Linked DNA regions of Callithrix jacchus. The protein of the gene in region 1 binds, or shares a complex with, the protein of each later gene. Links are inferred from orthologs where the notes say so. Each region holds a gene or a part of one and is shown on either strand. Other genes may lie near its edges.

Region 1 (16,146 bases):
TTGGAAAGCGTCTGGAGCTGGAAGCCAGAAAACCATCAGGATTTCCTTGACTCTGCTCCTCTCACTCTCTCATTCCCTGGTTTTCTATGCACTGGCTTTTGTCTGCCTCTCCAACTCACCTCACAGAATATAGCCACGCCAAACCCCCCTTCCTAGTTCTAGCCAATCTCAGGGACTAATTCCAGTACAACACAGTCAAATTAACAAATCAAAACCGGGTGTGGTGGCTCACGCCAGTAATCCTAGCACTTTGGGAAACCAAGGCAGGTGGATCACTTGAGGTCAGGAGTTTGAAACCAGCCAAGCCAACATGCTGAAACCTCGTCGCTAGTAAAAATACAAAAAAATTAGCCGGGCGTGGTAGTGTGCATCTGTAATCCCAGCTATGTGGGAGGCTGAGGCAGGAGAATTGCTTGAACTCGAGAGGCAGAGGTTGCAGTGAGCAAGATCTCATCACTGCATTCCAGCCTAGGCATAGATAGAGACTGTCCAAAAAAAAAAAAAAAATCAGTAACTAATTGATTCTCAAGAGAGAATCTGATTGGTCCAACTTGAATCCTCTGTCCACTAGCCATGGCTGGAGGGGTGGGGTGTGCAGCATAAAGGTGGCTTTTAGGGACCCACTCTCTGGCTGATCAGGTAGTTCCTAGAAAAATCAGACCCAGAGACCGGGCACAGTAGCTCACACCTGTAATCCCAGTACTTTGGGAGGCTAAGGTGAGTGGATCATGAGGTCAGGAGTTTGAGACCTGCCTGACCAACACAGTGAAACCCTGTCTCTACTAAAAATACAAAAATCAGCTAGGTGTGGTGATGTGTGCCTGCAATCCCAGCTACTCAGGAGGCTGAGGCAGGAGAATTGCTTGAACCTGAGATGCAGAGGTTACAGTGAGCCGAGATGTGCCACTGCACTCCAGCCTGGGCAACAGAGCAAGACTCCATCAAAAAAAAAAAAAAAAAAGAAAGATCAGACTGGGCAGAGATGCCAGCGATTATCCCTGACTATGAGGTTATTTCCTTTTGGAAAATCCAGTACCAAACTCACAAAAAGTCCTTCCTGGTACTAAAATACCATGATGAACACTCTGTTGACTTCAATGGGTTATTCCACATTCAGCTTTGAATTCCCCACAATGCCTAGCCTGTCTCCTTCATCCATGGCTGCTTCTGTATTTAAACAAAAAAAATGTCTTGAAAAGCAACCAACTCTCCTAGTACAAGAAAATCTTTGCATATCATTATATATGTTAAAGGGAGATGGACGGCCAGGTGTGGCAGCTCACTCCTGTAATTCTAGCACTTTGGGAGGCTGAGGCAGGAGGTTAGCTTGAGAACAGTCTAGGCAGCATAGCAAGACCCTGTCTCTACAAAAAATACAGAAGTTAGCCCAGTGTGGTGGTGCATGCCTCTAATCCCAGCTACTTGGGAGACTGAGATGGGAAGCTCACTTGAGCTCAGGATGTTAAGACTTCAGTGAGCTGTGATCATACCACTGCACTCCAGCCTGGGCAACAGAGCAAGACCCTGTCTCTTAAAAAAAAAAAGTGGATGGAGGGGAGGAAAAAGCCAGGCTGAGGAGGGACTGAAGAAGAAAGATACAGAATGCTCAAATGTTAGGGGCGTGTACCAACTAGTATTAGCCAGAAACTCGAATCATGGCCCTGAAAGGTCTAATATGAGCCAATGCAAAACAAGAATTCTACTTACAAAAGTGTGATTTATACAGTTTTTTTTTTGTTTTGTTTTTGTTTTTTTGAGACAGAGTTTCGCTCTTGTTACCCAGGCTGGAGTGCAACGGCACGATCTCGGCTCACCACAACCTCCGCCTCCTGGGTTCAGGCAATTCTCCTGCCTCAGCCTCCTGAGTAGCTGGGATTACAGGCACGTGCCACCATGCCCAGCTAATTTTTTGTATTTTTAGTAGAGACGGGGTTTCACCATGTTGACCAGGATGGTCTCGATCTCTTGACCTCGTGATCCACTCGCCTCGGCCTCCCAAAGTGCTGGGATTACAGGTGTGAGCCACCGTGCCCGGCGATTTATACAGTTTTTTATGTGTCTAAAGCATCACCGGAGTCAGTGGAGTTCCTGCCTAATTCCCCCATTCAGTCACCGTAAGCATTGACTCAACTCCTTGTGTTGAACAGAACTAATGGGAAAAGTAACCCATGTAAATGACAGAGAGAAACAAAAATGATAGAAGATTTGAGATTTCTTTTTTTTTTTTTTTTTTTTTTTTTGAGACGGAGTTTTGCTCTTGTTGCCCAGGCTGGCGTGCGATTTGATGGCACGACCTTGGCTTTCCGCAACCTCCGCCTCCTGGGTTCAAGCTATTCTCCTGCCTCAGCCTCCTGAGTAGCAGGGATTATAGGCAAGTGTCACTACACCTGGCTAATGTTTTGTATTTTTAGTAGAGACGGGGTTTCTCCATTTTGGTCCAGCTGGTCTCAAACTCCTGACCTCAGGTGATCAGCTTGTCTTGGTCTCCCAAGGTACTGGGATTACGGAAGTGAGCCACCATGCCGGGCCTATTTTGAAATTTTTATTATTTTTGAGGTAGAGTCTCACTCTGGTGCCAGGTAGGCATGCAGTGGTGTCATCTCAGCTCACTGCAACTTCCACTTCTCAGATTCAAGCAGTTCTTGTGCCTCAGCCTCCTGAGTAGCTGGAATTACAGGCATGTACTACCATGACCAGCTAATTTTTATATATTTTGTAGAGATGGGGTTTCATCACGTTGGCCAGACTGGTCTCGAACTCCTGGTCTCAGCTGATCCTCCCGTCTTGGCCTCCCCAAGTGCTGGGAATACACACGTGAACCGTCGCAACCGCTAGCCACCGAGACGTGCCCTATTTTTAATAAAATTTTAAAATATTATGGCTGGGTGCAGTGGCTCATGCCTGTAATCCCAGCACTCTGGAAGGCCGAGGTGGGTGGATCACCTGAGGTCAGGAGTTCAAGACTAGCCTGGCTGATATGGGGAAACCATGTTTCTACTAAAAAATACAAAAAATAACTGGGCATGGTGGCCAGCACCATGGTAATTCCAGCTACTTGGGAGGCTGAGGTAGGAGAATCACTTGAACCCAGGAGGCAGAGGTTGCAGACAGCCGAGATTGTGCCACTGCACTCCAGCCTGGGCAACAAGAGTGAAAGGTCTGTCTCAAAAAAAAAAATAATAATAGAATAAGAGATGTGGTCTTGCTATTTTTCTCAGGCTGGTCTCAAACTCTTGCCTCCAGTGGTACTGCCACCGCAGCCTCACCAAGTTCTGGGATTACAGGCATGAGGCACCACACCCAGTTGAATGAATTTTTTAAAGGACAACATATTCATAACATCTTTGTAACTTTTAATGAAAAGTATATACATAATAAAAGAATTGGAAGCAAAAGTGCCATGAGGCCAGGTGCGGTAGCTTATACCTGTAATCACAGCACTTTGGGAGGCCAAGGTGGAGGGTGTTGGGGTTGGGGGGGAGGGAATCACCTGAGTTCAGGAGTTCGAGACCAGCCTGGCCAACATGTTGAAATACTATCTCTACTAAAAATACAAAAATTAGCGGGATGTGATGGTGTGTACCTGTAATCCCAGCTAGCTACGCGGGAGACTGAGGCAGAAGAATCGCTTGAACCCTCAAGAAGGAGGTTGCAGTGAGCGGAGATCACACCACTGTACTCCAGCCTGGACAACAAGAGCAAGACTCTGTCTAAAAAAAAGAAAAGAAAAAAATTGCCACAATACTAAGTCATTAATTTAATGCCAGGTGGTGGCACTATGAGTGATTTTTCTTTTTTTTTCTTTTTTTTTTTGTATTTTTAGTAGAGACAGTTTTGCTGTTGACCAGGCTGGTCTCAAACCCTGGACCTCATGATCTGCCCGCCTCAGTTTCCCAAAGTGCTGAGCTTACAGGCATGAGCCACCACACCTGGCTGCATTTTTGTTTTTAATATCTGTGTATATGCACATAGATAGGTTTTTGTTTTATTTTTTGAGACAGAGTTTCGCTCTTGTCGCCCAGGCTGGAGGGCAATGGCGCGATCTCGGCTCACGGCAACCCCTGCCCCCCGGCTCGGCGGATTCTCCTGCCTCGGCCTCTGGAGTAGTTTGTATTACAGGCATGTGCCACCACGCCTGGCTAATTTTGTATTTTCAGTAGAGATGGTCTTTCTCCCTGTTGGCCAGGCTTAACTCCTGACCTCAGGTGATCCACCCGTGTTGGCCTCCCAAACTGTTGGGACTACAGGCTTGAGCCACCACGTCCAGCCATGGATAGGTATTTTTAAATACAGTCTTGTGGAAAAAAAAAGACCAGCCACTTGCAGATCTGTACGAATAATGTGACAATATTTTTGTTAAAATCCATACACAATAAAAACAAAGCTATATTCTATGATATCTCTATATATCCGTATAAATTCACAGCAAAAGATCTAGAAATATATATATAGTGTTTTAGTCCATTTTCTGTTGCTTATAACAGGATACCTGAAACTGGGTAATTTGTAAATAAAAGGAAGTTATTTCTTACAATTATGGAGGCTGATAAGTCCAAGGTCAACAGGATGTAGCTGGTGAGAGCCTGCTTGCTGGTGGGGTACCCCTGCAGAGTCACCAGGCAGTACAAGGCATCATATGGAAAGGGGGCTGAGCTGCTCACTTGCTAGCTCAGGTGTCTACTTATAAAGCCATTAGTCCCCCTCCCAAGATAACCCATTAATCCATTAACCCGTTAATACATGAATCCATGAATAGATTAATCCATTCATGAAGGCTCCACCCTCGTCATCTAATCGCCCCTTAAAGGGCCCACCATACAGTACTGCCACATTGGGGACTGAATTTCCAACACATGATTTGTACCTCATCTGCAAAGTTTAAATATTTTGCATTAATTCGCGTGTTGTGTAAGTAAAAATTTAAACATAATTTTTCAGAGATAACTGCCCAGACCAGCTCCCGGGTTTGGCCGTAGATCCTCTGATGCGTGTTTCTGATCGAATCAATTTCTTCTCCCGGAGACACCCAATCAGGGTCGTGTGGATTATTTGTGGGTTAACCAGGTCCCCGGTTAACCATCCAACTCAGAATATAATAGAGTTTCTAAAAATGCTTTTTGCTGTAAAACCTATTTGGAACAAACCTGGGTCTAAAGATTGGAGTAAGTACTTATTTTCGAATACATGACTTTTGAAAATAATTCTATAGGAATCAGAACACATGTTAAGTAAAAAAAAAAAAAACAAAAACCTCAGCGAAAATGCCTTTCAATTTCGAGAATAAATTCTAGAAAACGCATTAAGTAACTCTCTAGAAGAAATAATTCGCAGCTAGGTAGCGTGGCCGAGCGGTCTAAGGCGCTGGATTAAGGCTCCAGTCTCTTCGGGGGCGTGGGTTCGAATCCCACCGCTGCCAAGGTGGATTGTTTTTGTCTCCGCTGCACACACTGCCATCTCCGTTTTGAGCACGCCATCAGCGCCCCCTGCTGCAGGGCGGGGCATGGCCTCCATAAATGGCGCGGCGGAGGGGCGGAGCTCCGTGCCCCGGGGCGGGGCATTGTGGGTAAGAGGAAGCGCTGGGGCCGGCCTGCTCCCCCCACGTGTCCGCCAGAGTTTCTCCACCAGCAACATGGCCGCTGCCTGAGAGGAGAGCCGGGCCGCCGCCGCCTCTGCAGCCCGCGGGTTCCTGGGCTCTTGCCGCCGTCCGCGCGGCCCCCGCGGAGAGGTGAGTCCCGACTTGGCAGCGCCCTAGCTGGGGCTTGAGCCGGACAGCACTCAGTATGTGGGCCTGGGCTAGATTCCCGAGTAGGCCAAGGAGGCCCGCGCCGCGCTGTGCGTAGGGACTGGGGGCCTCTTGGGACGCGGGTGGGGAGGACGGACAGCCGGCTCTAGGTCGACCAGGCCAACCCCGGACACCGACCTCCCTGGCCCTACACTTGGGTGTTGGGGAGGCCGCGGCCGATGCTGCCGGCGGTGACTCAGGGTCCAGCCGATCTGCCCCACCCGGGCCGGAGCGGCCTCCTATGGAAGGAACACCTGTCTGGCGTCGGGTGTGGTAGCTGCTCGCGGCAGGAACTTCGTGGTGGGCGTGAGAAGGGGGCCTGACCACCCGTGAGGGAGCAGAAACCCATTGGACGGCGTGGCTCGGGGTCGGCGGCCAGCCGGGATGGGCAGGGACGGCACCTGCGCTTGCCGGAGCTCCCCTCTTTGCAGCTGAACCGGATCATCCTCTGCCCGGAGAGGCCCGAGATTCCTCATTCATTTATTCAGGCAACCATTCAGTGTTTACTGAACCAACTCTGTGCTTAGGATACGGCCCTGACCGGTCGGTCCGAGGAGGTGTCAGTAAACAAACAAGGTCATTCCTTTGGGTTACCTTTAGAATTCCTTGAGCTTGGGGACAGAAAGAAGAGATCGTATCGATCGCCACAGTTTGCTCATCTGTGAAATGGGAATAATAGAAATTCCTATCTCATGGGGTTGTGGTGACGGCTCAGTAGAAAGCAGGTGACGCTCTTGCTTGCAGCGCTTGACTTGTTGCTTAGTGTCATTACCCTCTTATATTGGAAGAAAACATGTTGTCAAGTAGTAACAAACCTTCCCATAGGTTGGGTCCTTACTCCCCTGTTCCTCCCTTCCCCAGCCGTCTGGAGGTCGGTATTTAGTTTCCCTACTTCAGGGATGAAAATAGGGAGGGATACCAAGCGTAGACAACTCAGGTGGGCCACAGATATGAAGCAGCAGTGGTGGGATTTGAACCTGCACAGTTTTGGTCTCGAGTCCAGGCTCTTACCCACTTAACCATACTGCCTTTTATTGAAGAGCTGTGCAGTGTAATGGTTAATAAGAATAAGGATCTTTGACATCAGCGAGACCCGAGTTACTGTCTTGATTCCACCTTGGAAAACGTACTCATCTCTGAACCTGTCTCCTCATTTCTAAATTGATGATAAATCTCTGTTGATAGTGCCAATGAGAAGATTAAATATAAAGTATTCTTTGTACTATATTGAGTGTCAACTTTGTGCCAGGCAGTGTTCTAGATATTGAGAGAACAGCAGTGGATTTTTTAAGTAATGATCTCCATAACAGCTTTGATGAAATAAAGTATAATTATCTCTGCATTTAGTAGAGGAAACTGACGCGCTGAGAAGCCTTCATGGAGCTTACATTCTGTTGCAGAAGACAGACAACACCTGAGCAAATAGACCAGGTAGTTTCAGATTAAGATGAGAACCACTGAGGAAAGCAAACAGAGATGTGGTGTAGTGCCTAGGAGGAGGTTGGAGAAGGCTCTTAAAATAGAGGAGTCAGGGAGCCTATCCTCAGCTGCAGACGGTGATGATGCTATTTAATAAAAAGGAGCAACCTTGGAAAGCCCTGTGGGGAATAGATGATGTGCAGAGGACCTTGGGGTGAACTGGGACTTGGCTTCTTGGAAGCCCTGCAACTGGCTACCAGGCCAAAAAGATGGTGAGGGGAAGATCGAGACAAAATCATGCAGGGCCTTAGAGTGGCTTATGGAAAGGAGTTTGGGTTTTATTTATATGACAATGATGGTTGACAGGTTTTAAGCAGGGAAATAATACGAGATATATATAAATTGTTTTTTTTTTTTTTTTTTGAGACAGAGTCTCGCTCTGTCGCCAAGCACCAGGCTAGAGTGCAGTGGCATGATATCAGCTCCCTCCACCTCCCAGGTTCAAGTAATTCTTCTGCTCAGCCTCATATATATATATATATATATATATATATATATATATATATTTTTTTTTTTTTTTAAAGACAAAGTCTTGCTCTCTCTTGCCCAGGCTGGAGTGCAGTGGCAAGATCTTGGCTCATTGCAGCCTCCGCCTCCTGGTTCAAGCAATTCTCCTGCCTCAACCTCCCGAGTAGCTGGGATTACTGGTGTGAGCCACCACACCTGGCTAATTTCTGTATTTTTAGTAGACACAGGGTTTCACCTTACTGGTCAGGCTGGTCTTGAACTCCTGACCTCAGGAGATCTGCCTGCCTTGGACTCCCAAAGTGCTGAGATTACAGTCAGCCACCGCACCTGGCTCTTTTTTTTTTTTTTTTTTTTTCACCCAATAGAGGGAAGGTCTTGTGATCATAGCTTACTGCAGCCTCAAACTCCTGGGTTCAAGCAAGCCTGCTGCCTCAGCCCAAGAAGTTGGGACTATAGGCCATGCTGGGCTATTTTGTCTGTGTGTGTGTGTGTGTGTGTGTAATAGAGATCAGGGTCTCACTATGTTGCTCAGGCTGGTCTTGAACTGCTGGTCTCAAGTGGTCCTTCCACCTAAGCCTTCTAAAGTGTTGGGATTACCAGTATGAGCCACCACGCCAGCCTGATTAACTTCTTTACGAGGACTCTGGCTGTTGCCGGGAGACGGAAGTAGGAATAAGGAGCCGTAGGGAGCCTCGGATGAGTGCTTTTCACATTGCAGATTGAGATTTATTAGTGGGAAATAAAATCAATTTAGGGGAATTGAAGCTAGCATTTTTTTTGTTTTGAATGAAGTAGAAAACATCACTGTCTGACATATAGTAGGGACAGTTATGGTTATGTGAAAACTTGTTTCAGTTATGCAATTGTATGTACTGGACCATTTATATGAGATGAATTTCTTTTTCTTTCTTTTTTTTTGAGACACAGTCTTGCTCTGTCACCCATGCTGGAGTGGAGTGGCAGGATCTCAGCTTACTGCAATCTCTGCCTCCCAGGTTCAAGCGATTCTCCTGCCTCATGTTCCTGAGTAGCTGGGATTACCACGCCCAGCTAATTTTTTATTTTTAGTAGAGATGGGGTTTCACCATGTTGATCAGGCTTGTCTCGAACTCCTGACCTCGAGATCCACCCACCTCAGCCTCCCAAAGTTCTGGGATTACAGGCTTGAGCCACTGCGCCTGGCTAAGATGAATTTCTTACTGTGGTGGGTCTTAGGCTGAAAACTTTGAAAGCCACTGAGTTGGATCACCTCAGCCTGGAGGATGAAGGGAGGTGACACTCTTTGCATCAGCTCAGATGCACTTTCCAGAGGGAGGAGCTCCAGCTTTCCAGCAGACAGGGCACCTCATCCTTCCTGATCCCTGGCAGGGCAGAGGCCAACGGGGCATAACAGTTGCTGAGAAAGAACTGTTGGGTCTCGGGAACCTCCCAGGCCACACCCTCTTAGTGGTTATGATCGTCCCCTTGCTCACCTGGCACTCTAGCCTCTCGGTTGTCCACTGCCCAGCTGCAGAGAAGGCAGGAGCTTGACATGTCTGGCACTCGGCAGCCGATGCAGAAGGGTAGGGCCTTGGGCTCTCCCTCCACACTGCCCTCTGTCTGCACAGCAGCAGGCACTTGAAACTGACAAGATGCAACTTCTGATTTTCATTCCATCCTCCATCTCTGGGACTGTTTGGATAGCCTGTTTCTCCTAAGTTTCTTTTTCTACCCCCTCCAGATCTTCCTCTGCCTGAAATCCTTCTGTAGCTTCCTATTAAATAGCATTCCCATGCTTTATTTATTTAGACAACAAACATGTATTGAGTGCCTACTGTGTACTAGGCACTTGGGGTACCACAAGGGACAAAACAGACCAAAATCTCTGCCTTCACATAGCTTACAGCTTACTGGCAATACGGGTGGGCACAGATGCAGAGCTGTAAACTGTCACACGGTGATAGACATCTGCTAGAGAGCACAGAAGGGAGTTAAGGGGTGGAGGAGGCAGTTTGCAATTTGAATTGGAGAGGGAAGGTCTTAGCCATAAGGTGACATTTGAGCAAAAACCTGAAAGAGGTGAAGGAGCGGCCAGGAGGTTATTATGGGATAGAGCAGCTATAAAGGCCTAGAGGTAGGTTTGGAGAGGAGGGTAGGAGACTCGTGGGAGATGAGGTCTGTCAGGTCAAGGGGCAGGAGATTGTTTAGGGCTTACACGGGATAATAAAGACTTTGGCTTTTGGCCAGGCACAGTGGCTCACACCTGTAATCCCAGCACATTGGGAGGCCAAGGCCAGTGAATCACTTGAGGCCAGGAGTTCAAGACAAGCCTGGCCAATATGGCAAAGCTCTGTCTCTACTTAAAATACAAAAATTAGCTGTGCAGGGCGGTGCATGCCTATACTCCCAGCTACTTTGGAGGCTGAGGCATGAAAATCACTTGAACCTAGGAAGTGGAGATTGCAGTGAGTCAAAATTCAGGCCACTGCACTCCAGCCTGGGCGACAGAGCATGACATGTCTTAAATAAATAAATAAATACATATTAGTTCAAGTGGTAAGTGGATCAGACAGAAGTCATGCTGGTCTTGGCTGGGCATGGTGGCTCACACCTGTAATCCCAGCACTTGGGGAAACCAAGGTGGGTAGATTACCTGAGGCCAGGAATTCAAGACTAGCCTGACCAACATGGCAAAATCTCTACTAAAAATACAAAAATTACCCAGGTGAGGTAGTGCACATTGGTAATCCTAGCTACTTGGGAGGCTGAGGCAGGAGAATCACTTGAACTCGGGAGGCAGAGGTTGCAGTGAACTGTAGCGCCATTGTACTCCAGCCTGGGCGACAGCAACACTCCATCTCAAAAAAAAAAATAAATAATCTCAACCGAGAGCAGAGGTTTGGGAACTGCTGAGGCCTGTGGGTGCCTGAGTACCATCCTACCTATGACTACCACTCTTCTCTTTGGGTATGTAAAGGTGCTGACCAGCTGAAATACTCAACCTGCCCCCTGGAGACCTGCTCTTGCAGGCACTTTCTGTCACCTGGAATTCCTCCTCCCCTCTGCTGTCATGCTTGTCCAAAGCCCTATCTCCTTCCAGGCGTACCCCATGTGCCACCTTCCCAGCAGGAAGGCCCTGCCTCTGAACTCCCCTATCTGTACCTGTCACCTGAGGTCAGACAGCCTGGATTTGAAGTCCAGTTCATCATCCTGCTTGCTGTGTGACTTCGGGTAAAAATGTGCAGAGTGTATCTGAGTTCTAGTCCATTCATTATACAACAGTGACAATCACCATACCTCACAGGGTCATTGTGTTGAATACAGGAGAGAAGAGTGTGTGAAGAGGTCATTTATAGACCAAAAACACAGAAGTGTCATCTCAGATTCGAATTAAAGTCAGCTTGAAAATCAAATATCAGAGACAGCTTTGGACTGTCTGTCTTCCTGATTGACATCTGGCTCCTCTTTAAAGCTTCCCCAGGGCTCCCAGTTCTCCAGTGTTTTAATCATGGCTGGGACCAGCCAGCCTCCATCCTTCTGTCTGGCAGTGAATTCTCTGTGAGTAGAGAAGGAACCCTTAAAGCCAGTCATTTGCAGCCTGGCTCAGTGGCTCACACCTGTAATCCCAGCTCTTTGGGAGGCCAAGGTGGGCAGATCATGAGGTCAGGAGATTGATACCATCCTGGCCAACATGGTAAAACCCATCTCTACTAAAAATACAAAAATTGGCCCGGCATGGTGGCTCATGCCTGTAATCCAAGCACTTTGGAGGCCAAAGCGGGCGGATCACCCAAGGTTGGGAGTTCAAGACCAACCTGACCAACATGGTGAAACCCTGTCTTAAAAGAAAGAGTTAAAATAAAAATAATAAAAAATATATAAAAAATAATAAAAATAAGTAAATAAAAAGACAAAATTCAGGGTGTGGTGGAGCATGTCTGCAATCCCAGCTACTTGGGAGGCTGAGGCAGGAGAATTGCTCGAACCCGAGAGGTGGAGACTGCAATGAGCTGAGATCATGCCACTGCACTCCAGCCTGGTAACAGAGCAAGACTTGGTCTCAAAACAAAACAAAACAAAACCAAGTCATTTGCTTTTCCCCACAGGTGCACCCCACACGTATTGGCTTGTTCTGCCCGCTTTTACCTGCTGCTTGGATTTTTCTTTTTTTTTTTTATTTCTTCTGGCTGATAGGGTATAGGGTTGGCTGTCCACTGGTGACTTCACGGTAGATGTAGAAAAGTCGGTTCGTTTGTTGTGCACTTCCCCTCCCAGTGCAGAATAGGCACGGGGAAATGTTGGTTGAACGACTGATGGTCTCAGTCTCTCGCCCTCCTTTGCAGATCGAGCTCAAAGACTGCACGGCTGGCTCTCCCTTAGTATGGCCAATGAAGAGGATGACCCAGTCATACAGGAGGTAACCACTGCCCTCTGTCCCCTGCTGCTGGTGCTGCAGGCAGTGGAACTGGGTCCCTTCCATGCGTACTCAGGCCAGTCTGGGACCTGTTGGTGTTCTGGGATACCTAACCCTTGATGTTCCCTCTGCTGTCTCCCAGACCCCTGCATGGCTGACCTCTCCCTGCCTTCAGGTCTCTGATCCAGCGTCACCTCATCAGAGAGGCCTTCCCTGACTGCCCTTCCACACAGGGCTCCCCTCCTGCACCTCTCTCTGCCCTTACCTTGGCTGTAACTGACACTTGGCCTAGCCCCTGTCATCGCCAAGATAATATTTCATAGCTTTTCTTCCTGTTCTCTGCTGGGCCGCACAGTCAAGTGCAGTGCCTGGCACTCAGGTACCTGGTGACTGTTTGGTGAATGAGTGGATAGGCTCAGCAGTCCTTCCTTCCCAGGCTTACGCAGATTCAGTCATTCAGCAGCTGTTCATTGGACCAAGTGCTGGGGGCTGTGAGCAGGGCAGGGTCCCCTTCCCCAGGAAGCTAATGGACCACGGGCACGAGGAAGGACTCTCCAGCCGCCCTGGTTGCAGGCTGTGGGAGGCAGATTCCCTCCCCTCCCTTTTTTTTTTTTTTTTTGAGAGAGAGAGTCTTGCTCCGCTGCTCAGGCTGGAGTTCGGTGGTGCCATCCTGGCTCACTGCAATCTCCACCTCCTGGATTCAAGAAATTCTCCTGCCTCCAACTCACTAGTAGCTGGGATCACAGACACCTGCCACCACGCCCAACTAATTATTATTTTTTTTTTTTGAGATGGAGTCTCACTCTGTAGCCTAGGCTGGAGTGCAGTGGCACGATCTTGGCTCACTGAAACCTCTGCCTCTTGGGTTCAAGTAATTCCGTTGTCCCAGACTCCCGAGGAGCTGGGACTACAGGTGCCTACTACCATGCCCAGCTAATTTTTGTATTTTTAGTAGAGACAGGGTTTCACCTTATTGGCCAGGCTGGTTTTGAACCCCTGACCTCAAGTGATCCACCCACCTTGGCCTCCCAAAGTGTTGGGATTACAGGTGTGAGCCACCATGCCCGGCCCAGGTTTCCTTTCTTAGAGAAAGCTGTTTGTAGCCAAACTTATCTTTCAGAATCCTTTTAACCCAGGACTTACACCTTTGGAAGGCAAAAGGCAAAAATGCCTTCAGCTTCATATGTGGAAGGGGCAAGGAGAAGTTCCCTAGAGCCTGGTCCAGGGACCCTAGGAGAAGGTCCAAGGACAGATGAATAGAGGTGGCTCTCCCTTACTTGGGGGATATTTGCTAAGTTTTTAGATTTGAGTTATTTAAATGCATTGAAGCTGCATCTACACTGCAGTAGCAGGAGTTGCAATGAGGGGTTGCTGATGGGATAGAGGAGTCCAAGCGACCCTGAGGACAGAGGCCGCATCCTCTGCAGCCAGGGGGTCTGGAATGCTTCCTGGCCAAGACGTGCCTCGGCCAAGTCCTTGGAGGAGCGAGCAGTAAAGGCTCAGGGGAGGCATGTGTGAAGGGCTCTGTAGGTGCAGGGAAAAGCATGTGCAAAGGCCCAGGGGCAAGAGACAATGTGGTTTAAAGGGAAGAGCTAGGAAGCAGGAAGGTAAGCTGCTGCATGGCGGGGTGGGTGTGGTTAGTGCTGGGAAGAAAGGAAGTGGAGCTGTCAGTCATGAAGGGTTTTGCAGACTCGCTGAGACGGCGTGACAGGCCTATCCAGGATGGGCAGGTGGAGGGCCCAGCCAGGAGGCATAGGCATAGGTGAGCCCTCGCCTGCCTGCCTCTCAGAAGAGCATTTGACCAGGCTCTAGGATGGTTCCCAATCAATGCAGCCCCGGGAAAGATGTGTGCTTGCTGGGGGATTGTGAACTTGGGTGGGGTGTGCCAGGTGAACTCTTGTCCTGGTTCCCCTGGGAGCTTTGGGGAGGGATTCCTGCATGTATCCAGGGTGCAGACTTGGATCCTCTTGTTTTTAGTATGAGCTGAGCTATTTCCTCCTTCCCCACACTGCCTCCCTGAGCCACTACCCCTAACTGAAGCTGGAGGCACGGGCACAGCCTGGGGAGTTCAGCACTGTCTTCAGTCTCCCGGTTAAGTTTTCTTCCCTTGTTCCCAGATCGATGTGTACTTGGCCAAGAGTCTGGCAGAAAAGCTGTATCTGTTTCAGGTAATTACGGGACTTGAAGGTAAAGACGGGAAAAGCAGGTGTGGATGGACAGTGTGAACTCGGGAACATGGACAGGAAACGATGGGAAACTTCAGATAGGGTTCTTGGTGTGGAGAATGTCATGGGGTCATTCTCTTTGCTTTTGTGGGTGGGTTAATATTGGTCTCATTTCAAAGACAGGAAAACTGAAGGAACACAGGAGAGGCAGAAGCGGGCAGCGGTTAAGGCTGGGGCTCTGTGGTCAGACCGGATTGAGAGCCAACTCCATCACACCTTAGCTGTGAGCCCTTGGGCAAGTTTCTTAATCGTTCTGTGCCTCAGTTTCCTCATTGGCAAAGTGGTGATGGTAATAATGCCTGCCTCCTAGGGTCCCCGGGAGGACGGGCTGAGTCCACAGTGAAGTGTTTAGGATGCCGCCTGGCAGAGAGTTAGTGTCAGTGACGATCACTGTTGCCATGGAGGCTCCGAGGGCCAGCTCCGCGGCAGCGTCTGTGAGTCCTCAGTCCTGCCAGCTGCCAGCCGTGAGGGCCCCGGGTTGCTACCTCTGCCCCTCCCCTTGCTGCTAGGCTAGCAGTTTGTCATAGTGTCTAACATGTATTGAGCATTGAAACGTATGCAAACTGTTTAAAGCATTTACCTAAGTTACCTCTTTAATCCCACAGTAACCCTGTGGTGGTGATTATTATATTTCATGATATATTGACATAGAATTTACACACCATACAGTTTCCCTATTTAAGTGTATAATACAATGGATTTTAGTCTATTCCTGGGTCTGTCCAACCAGTGCCACAGTCTGTTTTGGGACAGTTTTGTCCCCCTTTAAAGGAAGCCCGTGCCTATTAGCAGTCAGTCCCCATGTGCTCCCCATTCCCACCTCCAACCCCAGGCAACCATTCCCCTTATTTTCTGTCTATGGATTTACCTGTTTTGGACTTTTCACATAGCTGATTATGCAGCATGTGGCTTCCTGTGATTGGATGCTCTCACTTTGCATGATGTTTTCCGGGTTCATCCACATAGAAGCCATAGATTGCACTGATATTTGATCTTTAATTGATGAATAATGTTCCATTGTGTGGGTAGAGCACAGTTTGCTTATCCCTTTGTCAGTTGATGGGTATTTGGGGTATTTCTACTTTTTGGCTATTATAAATAATGCTGCTGTGGACATTCACATAGAAGTTTTTGTGCGGACATGAATTCTCATTTCTCCCAGGGATATGCCTGGGAGTGGAATTGCTGGGTCTACGTTTAGCTTTTTGGGGTGCTGCTGGACTGCTCCGCCCCATGTTACATTCCCACAGTTAGGGTCAGTGTTCGTATCCCAAGATGAACGTGAGAATTCGAGGCACAGGGAGGCCCTCACTGGCACAGAGGCCTGGGGCGCGCCACAGCAGCAATGCTACAAGCCTGCGCTGGGAGTGCCTGGCCTCCACTCCCTGGAGCTCACCCTTATGGGCTATGGGAATGGGGCCTGTCCCGTGTGCCTGCTGACCCTGCTTCCTTGACTGGCTGCACAGTGATGGTGGAGGTGCCAGTGACCCCCATGTATCCAGAGTGCCAAGCCCTGTGCTAGCGTCAGCTCTGTTTGCCTCCTTCGTGCTGGCAGTGGCCCTGGGAGGTGAGGATGCCTAGCCTCAGGGAGGCGAGGTACCTGCCCTCGTCCACATTTAGCAAGGGTTACGGTGAGGACTGCAAGCCTGGCCTGCGATTCCAGAACCTGCACCCTTCAGCATTCCCACCCGAGGTCAGGTGATCTCAGAACTGCCCCCAGCCCCAGCCTGGGAAGCAGGGAGGAGTCACGGCTTTGCTGCGTGAGTGAGTTTCTAGGAAATGACCATCTCCTTGTGCTG
Region 2 (15,464 bases), on another chromosome or scaffold:
CTAATTAATCACAATAAAAGAACCAGACTCAATTTTCTTTTTGTAAAAATAGAAAACTTATCCTTAAAAAAAAAATATGAGACAGGCTTTAAAAACTGTTTTCATACTGTGTGTTTTGTAGTTACCTGGTATCCATTCTTCCTTGTACACCTTCATATATCTTTTACTATACCTTTCAATATCTAGGGGGAAAAAAGAATAAAGAGCTCATTAGGAAAATCAAAAGTAACCCTGAACTTATGCCATTCCTTTAAGATAACTGAAAACAAGAGACAACATTTTTTATTTCACATACAGGGAGTTTCCTACATTTGGACATAAGAGAATGGGAAAAAGGGTAGGAGTAGGCAAGGTTGGACTTGGCGAGGGGTTACTGATCTGAGGGATAAATGAGCAAGCTGCAAGTCTTCCATGCCAACTGCTGAAAACTCTGCAGGGACCCTCTGAGTTTGCCAAAACCATTAAAGCCACAATTGTGGCTCTTGGTTCAGACTTGTCCACCTCATCACAAGAACACCCCTCAGGAGGGCACAAACTATTTCCCAGCAGCACAAGTTGGAAAGCAACACTATTACACAAAACCTGAAGCCATGTTCATCATAAAAAGCAGTTCAGCAGTTAGGCATGAAAAAGGGAAGATAATACTAAAGATGAATAGATGTAAAGTCAAGGACCAAATATGTACTGATTTTTCTTCTATGTCAAGAATATGCTTCCAAATAATATAATCATGTATAGAGAAAGATAACTAAAATAAGCATTAGATAAGAGACCAAGAGATCAGGTTTTCTAGATATTTTAACTGCTTGACATCAGGTCAAACGTTTTAACTAATCTCGTCAAGTTTTTCATCTGTAAAATGAAGTCAGCATAAATGAGAGATTCCTAGCATTTGTAACACAATGACTTCGTTTTTTTTAGAAATTTTCCAAAACAGATTCCCTATTTTAAATAATTTTAACCCTCAGTATACCAGAAAAAAAAGTTTACCCTTTTTTCTCTCGGTACAATAGAACATTTTTTTATATTTTAAAGTTAATTTCAAAGAATGAAATACAGAGAATAAAAAAGATAACAGATAAAAGAGTAAAGAAGTATTAAAAAACAATTATTGGAACCCAATTAAAAAAGGGTAAAGAATCTGAATAGACATTTCTCTAAAGAAGATACAAAAATGGACAAAAAGCATGAAAAGATATCCAACATCATTAATCATAACAGAAATTTAAATCAAAACCACTATGAGATACGGTGTTACAACCACTAGGATGGCTAGAATTTTAAAAAAATGTTGTTAAGGATATGGAGAAATTGGAACCCTTATACATTATTGATGGGAATGTAAAATGGTACAGCCACTTTAGAAAACAGTTTGACAGTTCCTCAAAATGTTAAATATAGTTACCATATGATCCTATGTATATCTCCAATAGAAATGCAAACATATGTTCACACAAAACATGTACATGAATGTTCATGACAGCATAATTTATGTTAGCCCAAAAGTGAACTGATCTAAATGCCCATCAAATGATGAGTGGATAAACAAAATGTGGCATATCCATACAGTGGAATATAATTCAGCCAGAAAAAGGAATGAAGCACTCATATGTACTAAGCCATTGATGAACCTTGAAAACATTATGGCAAATGAAAGAAGCCAGTCTAAAAAAGACACATATTACATGATTCCACGTACATGACATGGACAGAACAGATAAATCTCTAGAGACAGAAAGCAGATTGCTGGCGCCATGGGTTGTCAGGAGGGAAGAATAGGGAGTGACTACGAAAGGGTACAGAATTTCTTTTCTGGATGATGAAAAGCTTCTAAAAAATTAGACAGTGGCTGGACGGAGTGGCTCACACCTATAATCCCAGCTCTTTGAGAGGCCAGGGTGGGTAGATTACTTGAGGTCAGGAGTTCAAGAGCAGCCAGGCCAACATGGTGAAACCCCATCTCTACTAAAAATACAAAAAAATTAGCCAGGTGTGGTGTGTTTGTAATTCCAGATACTCGGGAGGCTGAGGCAAGAGAATCACTTGAATCCAGGAGGAGGCTGCAGTAAGCTGAGATCATGCCACTGCACTCCAGCCTGAGTGACAGAGCAAGACCCTGTCTCAAAAAAAAAAAAAAAAAAAATTAAATAGCAGAGTTGATTGCACAATTCTGTGACTATATTAAAAGTCATTGAATTGTACACTATAAAAAGTAGATTTTACATATGTGGATTATGTCTCAGTAAAACCCTTACTTAAAAATCAGTAATGCTGGGAGCGATGGCTCACGCCTGTAATCCCAGCACTTTGGGAGGCCGAGGCAGGTGGACCATGAGGTCAAGAGATCGAGATAATCCTAGCCAACATGGTGAAACCCTGTCTCTACTAAAAATACAAAAATTAGCTGGGCATGGTGGCATGTACCTAGCTATGTACGGAGTCCCAGCTACCTGGGAGGCTGAGGCAGAAGAATTGCTTGAATCCACGAGGCGGAGGTTGCAGTGAGCCAAGATTGCACCACTGTGCTCCAGCTGGGCAACAGAGCAAGACTCAAGCTCAGAAAAAAAAAAAAAAAAAAAAATCAGTAAAACTAGGCCCAACACAGTGGCTCAAGATGTAATCCCAGCACTCTGGGAGGCCGAGGCAGGTGGATCCCTTGAATTCAGGAGTTCGAGACCAGCCTGAACAACATGATGAAACCCCATCTCTACAAAAAATATAAAAATTAGCCGGGCATGGTGGCTCATGCCAGTGGTTCCAGCTACTTGGGAAGATATGGCAGGTGGGAGGATCGCTTGAGCCTGGGAGGTGGAGGCTGCTTACTGCTGAGATTACGCCACTGCATTTCAGCCTGGTTAACAAAATGATATCCTGTCTCAAACGAAAATAAATAAAGCTATTAGAGACTTTACTAAGTAATTAAGCATAGCAAATTCAAATTTATATTCCATGTTTTAGTGGTTTTGAAGGAAAATTTAACCAAAACGGGCAAAGTCATTTGAATGCACTTTTCTGTGCATCAACTGCCACACACAAATCCAGAATATATGCCTTCTGTACATCCTGATCCCCAATTCCAAACACATCTTTAATAGGTTCTAACTTATAATTTCTTTTGGTTCTTTTTCTCATACGTGTATCATCTGCATTTCTAGTAGATTAGTTTATCACTACCTCCAATTCTTCTCGTACTTACATAACCAAAATGCAATACTTTAAAAACTTTGATTTCTCATATTTCATTGAAGATGGTCCAGTGATCTTTACTCTACACTTGCAAAATATTTTCATTAAATTTATAATTACCAATTAATACGATCAGTCCAAAAAATGATTTCATGTCTGTACAATCAACTTCTTTTTCAGCATTTGTCAGTTACAAACATCAAATTAATTTTGGTGCACAAATATCATAAAACAAAACAAAAATGATCACCTCATTTTAGCAAACACGATGATCCAGGTTTTTGTTATAAAGTATTACATGATGAGGTCTTTTTCAAAGATTAACTATACAAGGCCACCATAATTCCTTTTTAATTCTTAGAGATAGTGTTTACTCATTGATTCTTGAATTTGAAAAAATTCATTGAAGACACTAAAGACTCATAGTCTGAGATTTTGCTTATAAAATCAATTTCATCATCATCATTAGCATCCAGAGAGCTATTTATCTCTTTGAATTCATCTTCCGGTTCGTCTAAGAATTGTGGAATGTCTCTTTCTGTCAATTTTGGACATTATGAGCAGAAAATTAAAAATTTTTGAATTTTTCAATTGTATTCAATTAAAACAGAGCAACTACAAATATGAAGGTCTCTGCACACTTTATATCTTCTTAAAAAAAAGATGTAATACTTTGGACAAGCATTAGAAACTTGTCCAAAGGAAAGGAACAGGAAAACTATATAATATAATAGTGATGTTTTATTTCAACTGCACAATTTCATCATTCTCCTATTTTTTGTATTTATTCTTTTCTTCAGCATAGTGGGAAATATCTGATGAATGATGATGAGATAATATCTATGATGATGAAGTAGCAAGGTAGTTCAAGATAGAGAAAAAATAAGATCACTCAGATTCCATAATTATCTTAGATATATAAAAGGGTCCAGGCCGGGCGAGGTGGCTCAAGCCTGTAATCCCAGCACTTTGGGAGGCCGAGGCAGGTGGATCATGAGGTCAAGAGAACGAGACCATCCTGGTCAACATGGTGAAACCCCGTCTCTACTAAAAATATAAAAAATAAGCTGGGCATGGTGGCGCGTGCCTGTAATCCCAGCTACTCAGGAGGCTGAGGCAGGAGAATTGCCTGAACCCAGGAGGCGGAGGTTGCAGTGAGCCGAGATCGCGCCATTGCACTCCTGCCTGGGTAACAAGAGTGAAACTCCGCCTCAAAAAAAAAGGGTCCAAGGGGCTGATAATGGCACGCTAAGATAAAACGAGTTTTCTTTTTTAAGTAAATTTCTGCTTGTTCTTTAGAAAATCTCTATGCAAGAATAAAAGTTATGAGTATCAATCATACAAACAATAGGAACTGCTCCAAAAAAAAAAAAAAAAAAAAAACCTCAAAAATTTATATTGAGTCTCATGGACACTGATGGTATAACAAGAATTAGGAAGCCAAATTCCATTTACTCAGTAACAGACCTGTGGACATATTTAAGTAAATGTATAATTTCCATCTAGCTTTAAGTTCTGAAAATGGCTTATTACACCATTACCACTATCAGAATCATGTTCTTACCTCAAAGGACCCAGTGGTTCAGGACCTGAGCTGGGAACCACTAGACCAGATGATCTCTACATCCTCTTACAGCTACAGTTATTTATTTAACAAAGGAAAAACACCAGTGAACTAAAATAATGTTCACTGGTGTTTTTCCTTTGTTAAATAAATAACAAATTTCAATGCAAAGAAAATACTAATCATTTCTAAAATTCTACCTGAAAACACTAAAAACAAACTTTGAAGACATCACAACATGAAATAAGTTCATTCCATGCCCTAGGTTCTTCAGGACTGATCTCAATGCCCTGAGTCAGCAGTCACTTGACTATCAGGAAGTCTTGAGATCTCCTACCCTATTTGTTTGTCCTGATGTCTAGTTATGTAGTGCTTTACAGTAGTCGGTAAGTCTCTCTTTCCTAAAGCACACAGGTGGCAAGTGATGCACCTGGCAAAACTGCAGTCATGCAACATCTCTATCCAGAATATAGTTCTCTCGGACACTTGGGTAGTTCTGTTGAGTCTGGCCAATTCTGCTTCACTCATAGCATGGTTATTATATACATTTATGCATGCACATATATACATATTTAAACCTATATATGCACTTATAAATGTATGTATTTTATAGAAAAACCTTTATTTTTAACATGAGCTCATTTTTTAAACACACAATATTAAGAAAAAGACTTAGGCTGGGTGTGGTGGCTCATGCCTGTAACTCCACCACTTTGGGAGGCCAAGACAGGAGGATCACTTGAAGCCAGGAATTCGAGAGCAGTATGACCAAAAAGTGAGACCCCCATCTACAAAAAATAAAAAAATAAAAAATTAGCTGGCCATGGTGGTGTGAGTCTGTAGTCCTAGCTACTCAAGAGGCTGAGGTGTGAGGATCACTTGAGCCCAGGAGTTTGGAAGCTGCAGTGAGCTATGATTGTGCCACTGCACTCCAGCCTGAGTGACAAAACGAGACCTCATTTCTAAAATGAAAAATAAAACAATTAAAAAAAGGCAGAAGTAAACATGAAGATCTCAGGGAGAATGTGCTTGTATCAGCTTGGAAATTTCATACAAGAATTTTCTCCTGAAAGAAATAAAAGCAAAAAAACCCTTACATTTTTTAAATACTTTATTGCATAGTTATCAAAGATAAAAGGGCTCCCTTAATCCATGTACGAGCCAACCACTCCCACAGATCAACAACAAAATTATGTTTTTAATATCCCTGTCTAAAAGGCTCATAAATGCTTTAATGATTTGATATACTTTTTTTTTTTTTGAGACAGTCTCCCTTGTAGTCCTGTGATGTGATCTCAGCTCACTGCAACCTCTACCTCTCAGGTTCAAGTGATTCTCCTGCCTCAGCTTCCTGATTAGCTGGGACTACAGCACATGCCACCACGCCTGGCTAATTTTTGCATTTTTAATAAAGGCAGGGCTTCCCCATGTTGGCCAGGCTGGTCTCGAACTTCTGACCTCAGGTGATCTGCCCACCTCGGCCTCCTAGTGTGCTCAGATTATAAGAGTGAGCCACCACACCTGGCCTGATTTGATGTACTTTTAAATTAGACGTGTTTCAATAACGACCACATTCAGTTAAGTAAATCTGTGCCATAGAGAAATGATCAATTTTAAAAGGACTAAAGTGTACCTTGCATTAGTATTTTTTCTTATAAGAGTGAATATTGATTCGTTCATTTGGTCTTTTTAAAATCTTTAAAATGAGAAGTTTTATTTTGGAACTCAAACAGATGAAGGCATACAACATAATCATGAAAGTTAAAAATTTCAGTATTAGGCTGGGTGCAGTGGCTCATATCTGTAATCCCAGCACTCTGGGCGGCTGAAGTGGGCAGACCACTTGAGGTCAGAAGTTCGAGACCCGCCTGGCCAACATGGTGAAATGTTGTCTCTACTAAAAATACAAAAATTAGCTAGGCGTGGTACTTCGCATCTGTAATCCCAGCTACTTGGGAACCTGAGACATGAGAATCAATTGAACCCAGGAGGCGGAGGTTGCAGTGAGCCGAGATTGCACCACTGCACTCCAGCCTGAGCTACAAGAGTGAGACTCCAATTTCAAAAAAAAAAAAAAAAAAAAAATTAAGTATTTTTGAGATAAAATATCTCTTATCGAACCATTATAAAACTTCAAGCAGCTGTGTTTTGAGAATTAAATGAACTTATCTAAAGTGCTTCCTATATTTATAAGCACATGCTAAGATTATTACATAAGGCTTCATTATTTAGACTCAGCCAATTCAAATTATTCTAGAGAGGGGAAAAATGGAATGTACTTTTAATACTAATGGAATTATATGATGCTATGTGAATTTCTCATGTTTTAATGATGGTGTTTCGCGAACTCAATGATGATATCAGTCTCTCTAATTTCAACAATCAAGGGCAGAAAGTAAAAAATCAATATAGTACTGCTGTGCTAAATAGCTACTCAGGAATGGCTTCCTTTCCTGTAAAACCACTTCCCATTTCTAGTCTGAGACTGTCAAGCACTCTCCAAATATAATTTTTCTTTTCTGCCTTAAGTATCACCAATGAATACATATTTTAATTCATAATATATATATTAAAAAATCAAGGCTTAAAAATGTTTTAACCTAAATATTAGATAATCAGAGACATGCATAAAGGTTTGTATAATGATAATAATCACAACATTTTATATATAAGCAAAAAACTGGAAATAATCTTTAAAAAGCAGAAAATTAGTTCAGTTAATAATATTATATCCACAGAGTAGACTACCAGAGTCATTAAAAGTCATATTTCCCACAAATAAGAAGGATATGTAAAAATGCTAATATACTACTGAGTGAAAAAAGGAAGATACAAAGTAATACGAAACCAGTTTTATAAAGAGAATATACATGCAGAAGAAAAAATCTGGAATATAATAAATATTAATAGTGGTTCTCTAGACATAAGCATGGGTAATTTTTACTTTTTAAAATTTTCCTGTTTTTCATAATTTTCATTTAACATATAAAATTACTGTGAATTTCTAAAAATATCAAAAAATTTAAAGTATGTTTTCTGTTAAATCAACATAAATGTGTTTTTTCAAAGTACTTAATTTTTTATTGAGTTGAATCAATCATTAAATGATTCTATATCTTGTGCTTAAACACTGTTTCATCTGCACACATTAAACCATATAATCAAAGACTTCAATATGGTACCTTGTCTTTCTTCAGGTGTTTCAATAAAATAAGACATTCTTTTCATTGTTTCTCTCAACTCCTGTTTCAAAGCCAGCATATATTCTTCACCTTCTCCCATTTTCAGTGGCACGGGTTTATAATCTGTAACCTGTTTAAATTAAGAGATAAAGGTTTTTAAAAAATAAATTATGTATTTTAATATCTTTTATCTGTATTACAGAAAACAGCAGTTTTCTTGAAATAGTATGTTTTACAGGCACTAAGTTTTACAATCAACTTAAAAGATGAACTTCTGTAGTCTATTTAACCTGTTAACCCATTTCCTACTTTGCTCTTATCTTAGAGATAAGAAAGATGCCTATTTTCCTATTGGCCCTGAAACTACACCCAATAACCACTTTGCCATACAGTCTGTTGACCTATGTGATTCTCTATTTTAAAAATTAGAGTACCAAAAAGAAAAAAAGAAAGAAAAAAAAATTAAGGTACCCAAATGAGAGCAGACGCTTTAGATTCTTATTAACCTCAACTAGTGATGGTGTTACTGGGGGAAAAAAAAGCAGCAGTTTTTATTTAGTAAGTGGTTAATGTGACTAGGATGTACTCAATATTCAACACCCATTATTTCATTGAAAGGACTACCAATATTTCTCCGTTTGCAGTGAAGAAATCGAGAAGTGAACAATTTGTAAGCCCATATAATGAATAAATTGCAAAGACAGAGTTTGAAGCTGCATTTCAAGTTTTAAAAATTATACACACATATACATACATGCAAATATGCATTTGTATGTATGTATATATTTACACAAATATATTCATTAACAAGTGGGTCTCTAGTGTACACAGTAAAGACATTTCTAGTCTCAGAGGATAAAGATAGAATGCATTTTCAAAATTTGATTAGGAATGTATTCATTCATGCTATAACTACTTATTGAGTACCTAACATGGTTAGACTTTAGAAGATACCATGATAAGCAAGTCAAAGTCCCTGCCTACAGGGAACTTACATTCTAGGAGAGAAACACACAACAAATTAGTAAACAAATGAGGTGATATACAATTTCACTTAGTGATAAATAACATAAAAATAAATGCAGGTGGGTAAAGGAAGTGACTACTAAGAGCATGGAGGATGGAGGTGGAATCTACACAGGGTACATGGCCGCTAGGGGAAGTCACATTTGAGTAGATTGGGATAAAATCAGGGAGCCATCCATTTGAAGATAAGAGATGGTTCCAGCGGGGAACCAGGAGGGGCAAAGGCCTGAGGGCACAAGGAGACGAGCTTAGCTGGGGAATGAGAAGGACAGTGGTAGGAAAAAAGTCAGAGAGACATCAGAACAGAGAGATCAGGCAGAGCCTTTTATCGAGTAGTAAGGAATTTTAATTTTATTCCAGGTATAAAGAAATACTATGTACTAACGTCCCCACTGTTTAGAAGTAATCTCACACATGAAAAAGAGCTTGTTTTAAAGATCACTGTAAAGTGACATTATGCAAATACCTGAGGTATTTGTCTTTGTTTTTATGTTGTGCTAAATATCAAAAAGGTAAAATATCAAGAGCAAAATGCAGAAATTCCTTGTGTGAGACAGGTAGATCCCTGGATACATTTTAAACTAAATATAAAGTGAAACATAACACGTTATGCAAATTATGCTTCCAGCATACTCGCTAAATTTTAAAACAACACTAAGCAAAAAAAGTTCAGTGGGAAAAAAAGTCAAGTGGTATACTAAAGAGCAAAATTAAATTCTATAGATACAAGACGAGAAGAAAATCATTAAGTGAAGTCATGATAGAGTGGGAACTGAGAACCATTATAAAACCTAATGGCTTTTTAAACTATTATTTTGACATTGGAATAGATCAATAACACCAACAGAAGTTGTAAGAATTGAAAACTAATCTTTATTGGTTCACATATATTCATGGAAAGATGTATACAGTTTTGTTTTCTATATTTTAAGAAAGCAGATCATAGAAATATTTAAATTAAAGGTAAGTGAAACACACTCTTATACTTGAGAATACATAATGATGATATCAAGTCCTATATGGAATTTTAATATTCTCTGAAAAATAAAAAAACACACTATGAGAATTCAACTGTTCATATACTTACAGGAAATAGTGGGGGTGGTTTCAACACTACATCAGGTAACTTTTCACCTTTGCTAAATCCAACAGCTTCAATATTAAAGGTATAAGCAGCACGTCCTCTTCCTTTATTCCCAGCCATCAGAACTAGTTATACCAGATGAGTGGGCAAATTCTGAAAGGCACTATTAATGATTAAGATTTATTGGATCACATATAAAAGGAAATCAACTGTTTAAAGCAAAATATAAAACTGCACCCCTTAATTAGCATAGCTGATTCAAAATACTTTTGGAAAGCAAAACATGTAGAGAAATAAAAACATGTAGAGAACTTCAACTATCTGTTGAAGTTCTCACACTCATCCACCTTTGGACAGGTAAGGTGATGATGGCTTCAACTCCCTAACGTACTACTGCTCCATCCAGTCCAGGCAATTCACCCACCCCTCTGTGGTTTGACAATAGGATCTCAGATGTAATGTATATAAAAAGTGGACACAAGAAAAGACTGGGCTGAAGAAGAGAAGAAATCTTTATTTTTTTCATATCAACTTAAAAACTATCTTTAGTCATATATACTTAAAAACTTTAAATGATGTATCTTAGCATGTGAGTGTTAGGAAGTATCCCTGAGATCTAGTCTAATACCCCCCTTTTAGAAAAGGGAATGGGATGGCCGGGCGTGGTGGCTCATGCCTGTAATCCCAGAACTTTGGGAGGCCGAGGTGGGCGGATCACCTGAGGTTGGGAGTTCAAGATCTGCCTGACCAACAACCAACATGGAGAAACCCCATCTCTACTAAAAATACAAAAAAAATTAGCTGGGTGTGGTGGCACATGCCTGTAATCCAAGCTACTGGGGAGGCTGAGGCAAAAGAATCACTTAAACCCAGGAGGCGGAGGTTGCGGTGAGCTGAGATCGTGCCATTGCACTCCAGCCTGGGCAACAAGAGCAAAACTCTGCCTCAAAAAACAAATAAACAAACAAACAAACAAAAAAACAAAAAAACAAGAAAAGGGAATGGGATCAATCAGACTAGAAAGAGATCTGTCCTAGAAAAAAAAAATCAGAGAAAAACAGCTGAAATCACTAAAGTTATGATAAATCTGTATTCTTCAATTTTGGGGACAGTAGTGATATCACATATGCAAGTTGTATTGAACTTTTGAATCCTCTGATTATACTATGAGAACTGAGCTGGCAATGTATAAACAGGGATCCCCATGCCAGAATTCTTTCAATAGAAGTCTCCATTCAACTACAGAGATGATTATAATGCACATTCTTTACATCTCTTTCCCCGCTGGTAATACTGAGCCTCATTTAACCCTGTGAACACAGGAGAGCAATGATATGTCCTCCAGACCACTTGGAGGAAGTCAGAGGAGTGGCTTTGGTTTTGGCCCCATCAGCTCAGTCTCATTTCTGAATCTACTCACTTGCCCTCCTTTCAAAATTATGCAAGCCACAATACTTCACACAGCTGCTCTACTCTTCACCAGAGTTTCTTGCTTGGTCATTAATGTTACCCATGTTAGTCTGTCACACCAATGGTGAAGGAACACCTCCTAAAACCAACAAAGTGCTACTTCTATCAATTTTACTGTCTACAATTTGAATATATGCAATACTTTGGGCCAAAAAGCTGAAAACTCCCAGCTCACTTTATCACAGGGCTATACTACAAAGCAAGCAGCCCTCAGTTCTCAACCCTGGCTGCCATTAGAATCGCTTGGGTAGCTTAAAAAACTACAGCAATGGTTCTCAAAGAGGGCTGTCTGTAGCAGCATCACTCAGAACTTGGTAGAAATGCAAACTGTGGGCTCCACCACAGACCTAAAGAAAACAGAAATTGTGGATGGGCCCAGCATTGGTGTTTCAACAAGCCTTCCAGGTAATCTTAGGCAGCTAAGTTTTGTGAATCACTGAACTGAACCAATTGATCCAGATCTCTTGGGGTGAGGATTGGGCAAGAGTCAATTTTAGAAGCTTCCCAGGTGATTCTAATACACAGCAAATGTTAAGAGTATTGGGAGAACTGTTTTGGTGGAAGCCTTAGCTACTGAGGAGTAGTTGAGTTAAAATACACATGCAGAATCAAGGACTTCATAGGTGCTGTCTTTGAGGTTTAAAATTACACAAATTAGCTTTAGCAACCTAAAAAAGTTTACCTTAAAGGTGAGATAACTGTAACTGCTATAAATCTAAGTAACACTCAGGATGTGGCAGTTCAAGTTTTAATTCATTTGCAAGGAATAGCATTAACAAGGCATTTCACTTTTAGATAGCCAATTTAATTTTTTAATTTTTAATTTTTTTTTTTTTTTTGAGACAAAGTCTTGCTCCGTCACCCTGGCTGGAGTGCAGTGGCAGGATCTTGACTCCTGCCTCAGCCTTCAAAGAAGCTAGGATTACAGGTGTGCAATGCCATGCCTGGCTTATTTTTATATATTTTTTTAGTAGAAACAGGGTTTCACCATGTTGGCCAGGTTGGTCTCCAACTCCTGACCTCAAGTGATTGCACACCTTGGTCCCAAACTGCTAGGATTATAGGTGTGAGCCACTGCGCCCAGCCAATGACACCCTGCCAATGATGGCCAATTTTAATGTCCTTCTACATTTAAGGCCCAGGAAGCAAATCATATATTTAACATCTTTCTGTAATGAAACACTGTTTCCTGCTTTCTCTGAATTACTCAAGTAGAATGGATGACATTTGATTTGATATAATGGCTATGATACTGAGAACATTTTCAGATATGATTTTGTAACTGCCCAAGGGGTTCACCATGCCTACTGTCTGGACAGAGCTGATTTATCAAGACAGGAAAATTGCAATATAGAAAAATGTAATTCACACAGAGCTGGCTATGCAGGAGACTGGAGTTTTATTATTCCTTAAATCAGTCTCTCCCAAAACTCAGAGATCAGAGATTTTTTTTTTCCTTTTTGAGACGGAGTTTCACTCTTGTCCCCCAGGCCAGAGTGCAATGGTGCAATCTCGGTTCATGTAACCTATGCTTCCTGGGTTCAAGAGATTCTCCTACCTTAGCCTCCCAAGTAGTTGAGAATACAGGCATGCGCCACCACACCCAGCTAATTTTGTATTTGTAGTAAAGATGGGGCTTCTCCATGTTGGTCAGGCTGGTCTCAAATTCCCAACCTCAGGTGATCTGCCTGCCTCGGCCTCCCAAAGTGCTGGGATTACAGGAGTGAGCCAACCTGCCTGAGTCGAGATCAGAGATTTTCTGGAGATCAGAGATTTTAAGGATAAATTGGTGAGTAGGGGGCCAGTGAATCAGAAGTACAGATTGACTGGTTCAGGGATGAAATCATAGGAAGTTTCTTAGTCCCACAAAGGCAGTCTAGTCCCCAGGCAAGGAGGAGGTTTGTTTCGGGAAAATCTGTTATAGTCTTTATTTTAAACTATAAACAAAGTTCCTCCCAAAGTTAGTTCAGCTTATGCCCTGGAATGAACCAGAACAGCTTAAGGGTTAGAAGCAAGATGGAGTCACAGTTAGGTTAGATCTCTTTAAGTGCCATAATTTTCTCAGTTATGATTTTTGCAAAGGTGGTTTCAATCCCTCCCTTCAGGTTTCATAGTTTTACATTATTCGTTTTGTAAATGTATCCTTGCAGGCCTGAAAGTTTTCCTTCATAACTGCCTGAACACTAAAAGTTGATTTGTCACCTTTAACGTTGCCATTTTAAACCACAATTCTATGCCTTTTTAAAAAAAAACTAATACTTACATTCACAAAAGTCGGTGTATAAATACATTTTTCTTTTGAGACAGAGTCTCGCTCTGTCACCCAGGCTGAAGTACAGTGGCACGATCTCGACTCACTGCAACCTCCGCCTCCTGGGATCTGATTCTCCTGCCTCAGTTTTCTGAGTAGCTGAAATTACAGGCACATGCCACCATGCCCAGCTAATTTTTTTGTATTTTTAGTAGAGACAGGATTTCATCATGTTGGCCAGGATGGTCTCAAACATCTGACCTTGTGATCTGCCCGCCTCAGCCTCCCAAAGTGCTGTGATTACAGGCATGAGCCACTGTGCCCAGCCTAAAAAGTCAGTATACTAAATCCCAATATACCCACTACTCAGCTTCAAAATTGTCAGTATACAACTAATCATACTTTATACTTTTTCTACTCCCATGCTTTAGATTATTTTAAACTCTTCAGTATGTATCTTCTCTGGGAGTTAAGGGCTTTAAAAAAATCACAATAACATTGCATCTAAAATTTTAACAATAACTCTATATCATCATCTTATATAGACTTAATACATTTCTTCAGTTATCACATAAATGTTTTTATAGTTAATTTGTTCAAATAAAGATATAAAAAATATACGACATTTAACTTTCTTATAAACTATAATAGTTTTTCCTAGGTCAGTGCTCTGTACAATGCTTTCTAAACTTTAGGTACAAGAGAATTACCTAGGAATCTTGTTAAAATGCAATTTTGAAACAGTTGGCCACAGACATGGCCTGAGAATCTGCATTTTTATCCAAGGTCTCAGGAGACATCAACACTGCTGGTTTGTAAACCATACTTTGAAAGTAGCAAAGCTATACAATTTCCCATATTTTGGATTTGACTGATTTATACCTGAGATGTGGCTTAACATATTCCTCTATTCACTGTGTTTATTTCCAATAAACAGGTAAACTGGAGGCCTAGATTTGGGTTTGATCTTTTTTTTTTTCCAAGAATACTTAAAAGGGATACTCTGTCTTTCCTTCTGCATCACATCAAGATGAACATAAAGTCTCCGTCTTAGTATTGATCAGGTTGGTCATGGGTTCAGGTGTTGGTCTATTTCATTATGTATAAAGTATCCACCAGTTTTCACCTCACGATTTTAGCAGTCATTGATGATCACTACCTAGCATTTTTCCATTATGAGTTGCAAAACTGGAATTCTACCAGGGATCAATTTCCCTTATCTATTATTTAGTTACCTTGAAATGAAGTTCATACAGGAACTGTATTTCTTTTAATAGGCAAGCTTATTCCATCTGTCCACACTAAAAATGCAGGAAAAAATCCAAATGGACTTGTTTCAATTGCTAAGTCACTAACACATATACTGAGCCTAGAGAAAGCAGGTCTCCCAAGTATGAAAACTGCTGAGAACCAGGGGTCACACCCTTCACTCTAAGAAACAATTGCCAAGAGCCCACCAGGCCTACGCAAAACTATTGAGCTGCACTCCAGTCCAGGATTTGCCACTACTTAAAGATTTTTAAAAATTCCAGGTAAAGTTTACCAGACTTTCCTGATCATGAGGATTAACTGGAGGACCTGCTAAACACAGAGTTGCAGCCATTCTTCAAGCCCTCAAACCTACAATACCAGAATCTTTGGAGGTGGGCCCTGGAAAAGTCTGGAAAACTTACCCTAAAAAAAAAAGACCAGTTAGCATTG

What was found.
Region 2: POLR3E (region 1) and POLR3G share a complex: the UniProt entries of both Homo sapiens proteins name them as parts of the RNA polymerase III complex. The link is inferred for Callithrix jacchus from reciprocal best matches to the Homo sapiens genes POLR3E and POLR3G.

Annotation. Positions count from the first base shown.
Region 1 is NC_133513.1:22,884,187-22,900,332, forward strand, and holds the start of POLR3E (DNA-directed RNA polymerase III subunit RPC5), read left to right. Parts: upstream 1-5,609; 5' UTR 5,610-5,725; intron 5,726-12,051; 5' UTR 12,052-12,089; coding exon 12,090-12,125; intron 12,126-14,239; coding exon 14,240-14,290; intron 14,291-14,466; exon of another isoform or gene 14,467-14,582; intron 14,583-16,146. UniProt on the Homo sapiens protein: DNA-dependent RNA polymerase catalyzes the transcription of DNA into RNA using the four ribonucleoside triphosphates as substrates.
Region 2 is NC_133503.1:120,269,417-120,284,880, forward strand, and holds part of POLR3G (DNA-directed RNA polymerase III subunit RPC7), read right to left. Parts: intron 10,206-15,464; 5' UTR 10,163-10,205; coding exon 10,046-10,162; intron 8,063-10,045; coding exon 7,933-8,062; intron 183-7,932; coding exon 126-182; intron 1-125. UniProt on the Homo sapiens protein: DNA-dependent RNA polymerase catalyzes the transcription of DNA into RNA using the four ribonucleoside triphosphates as substrates.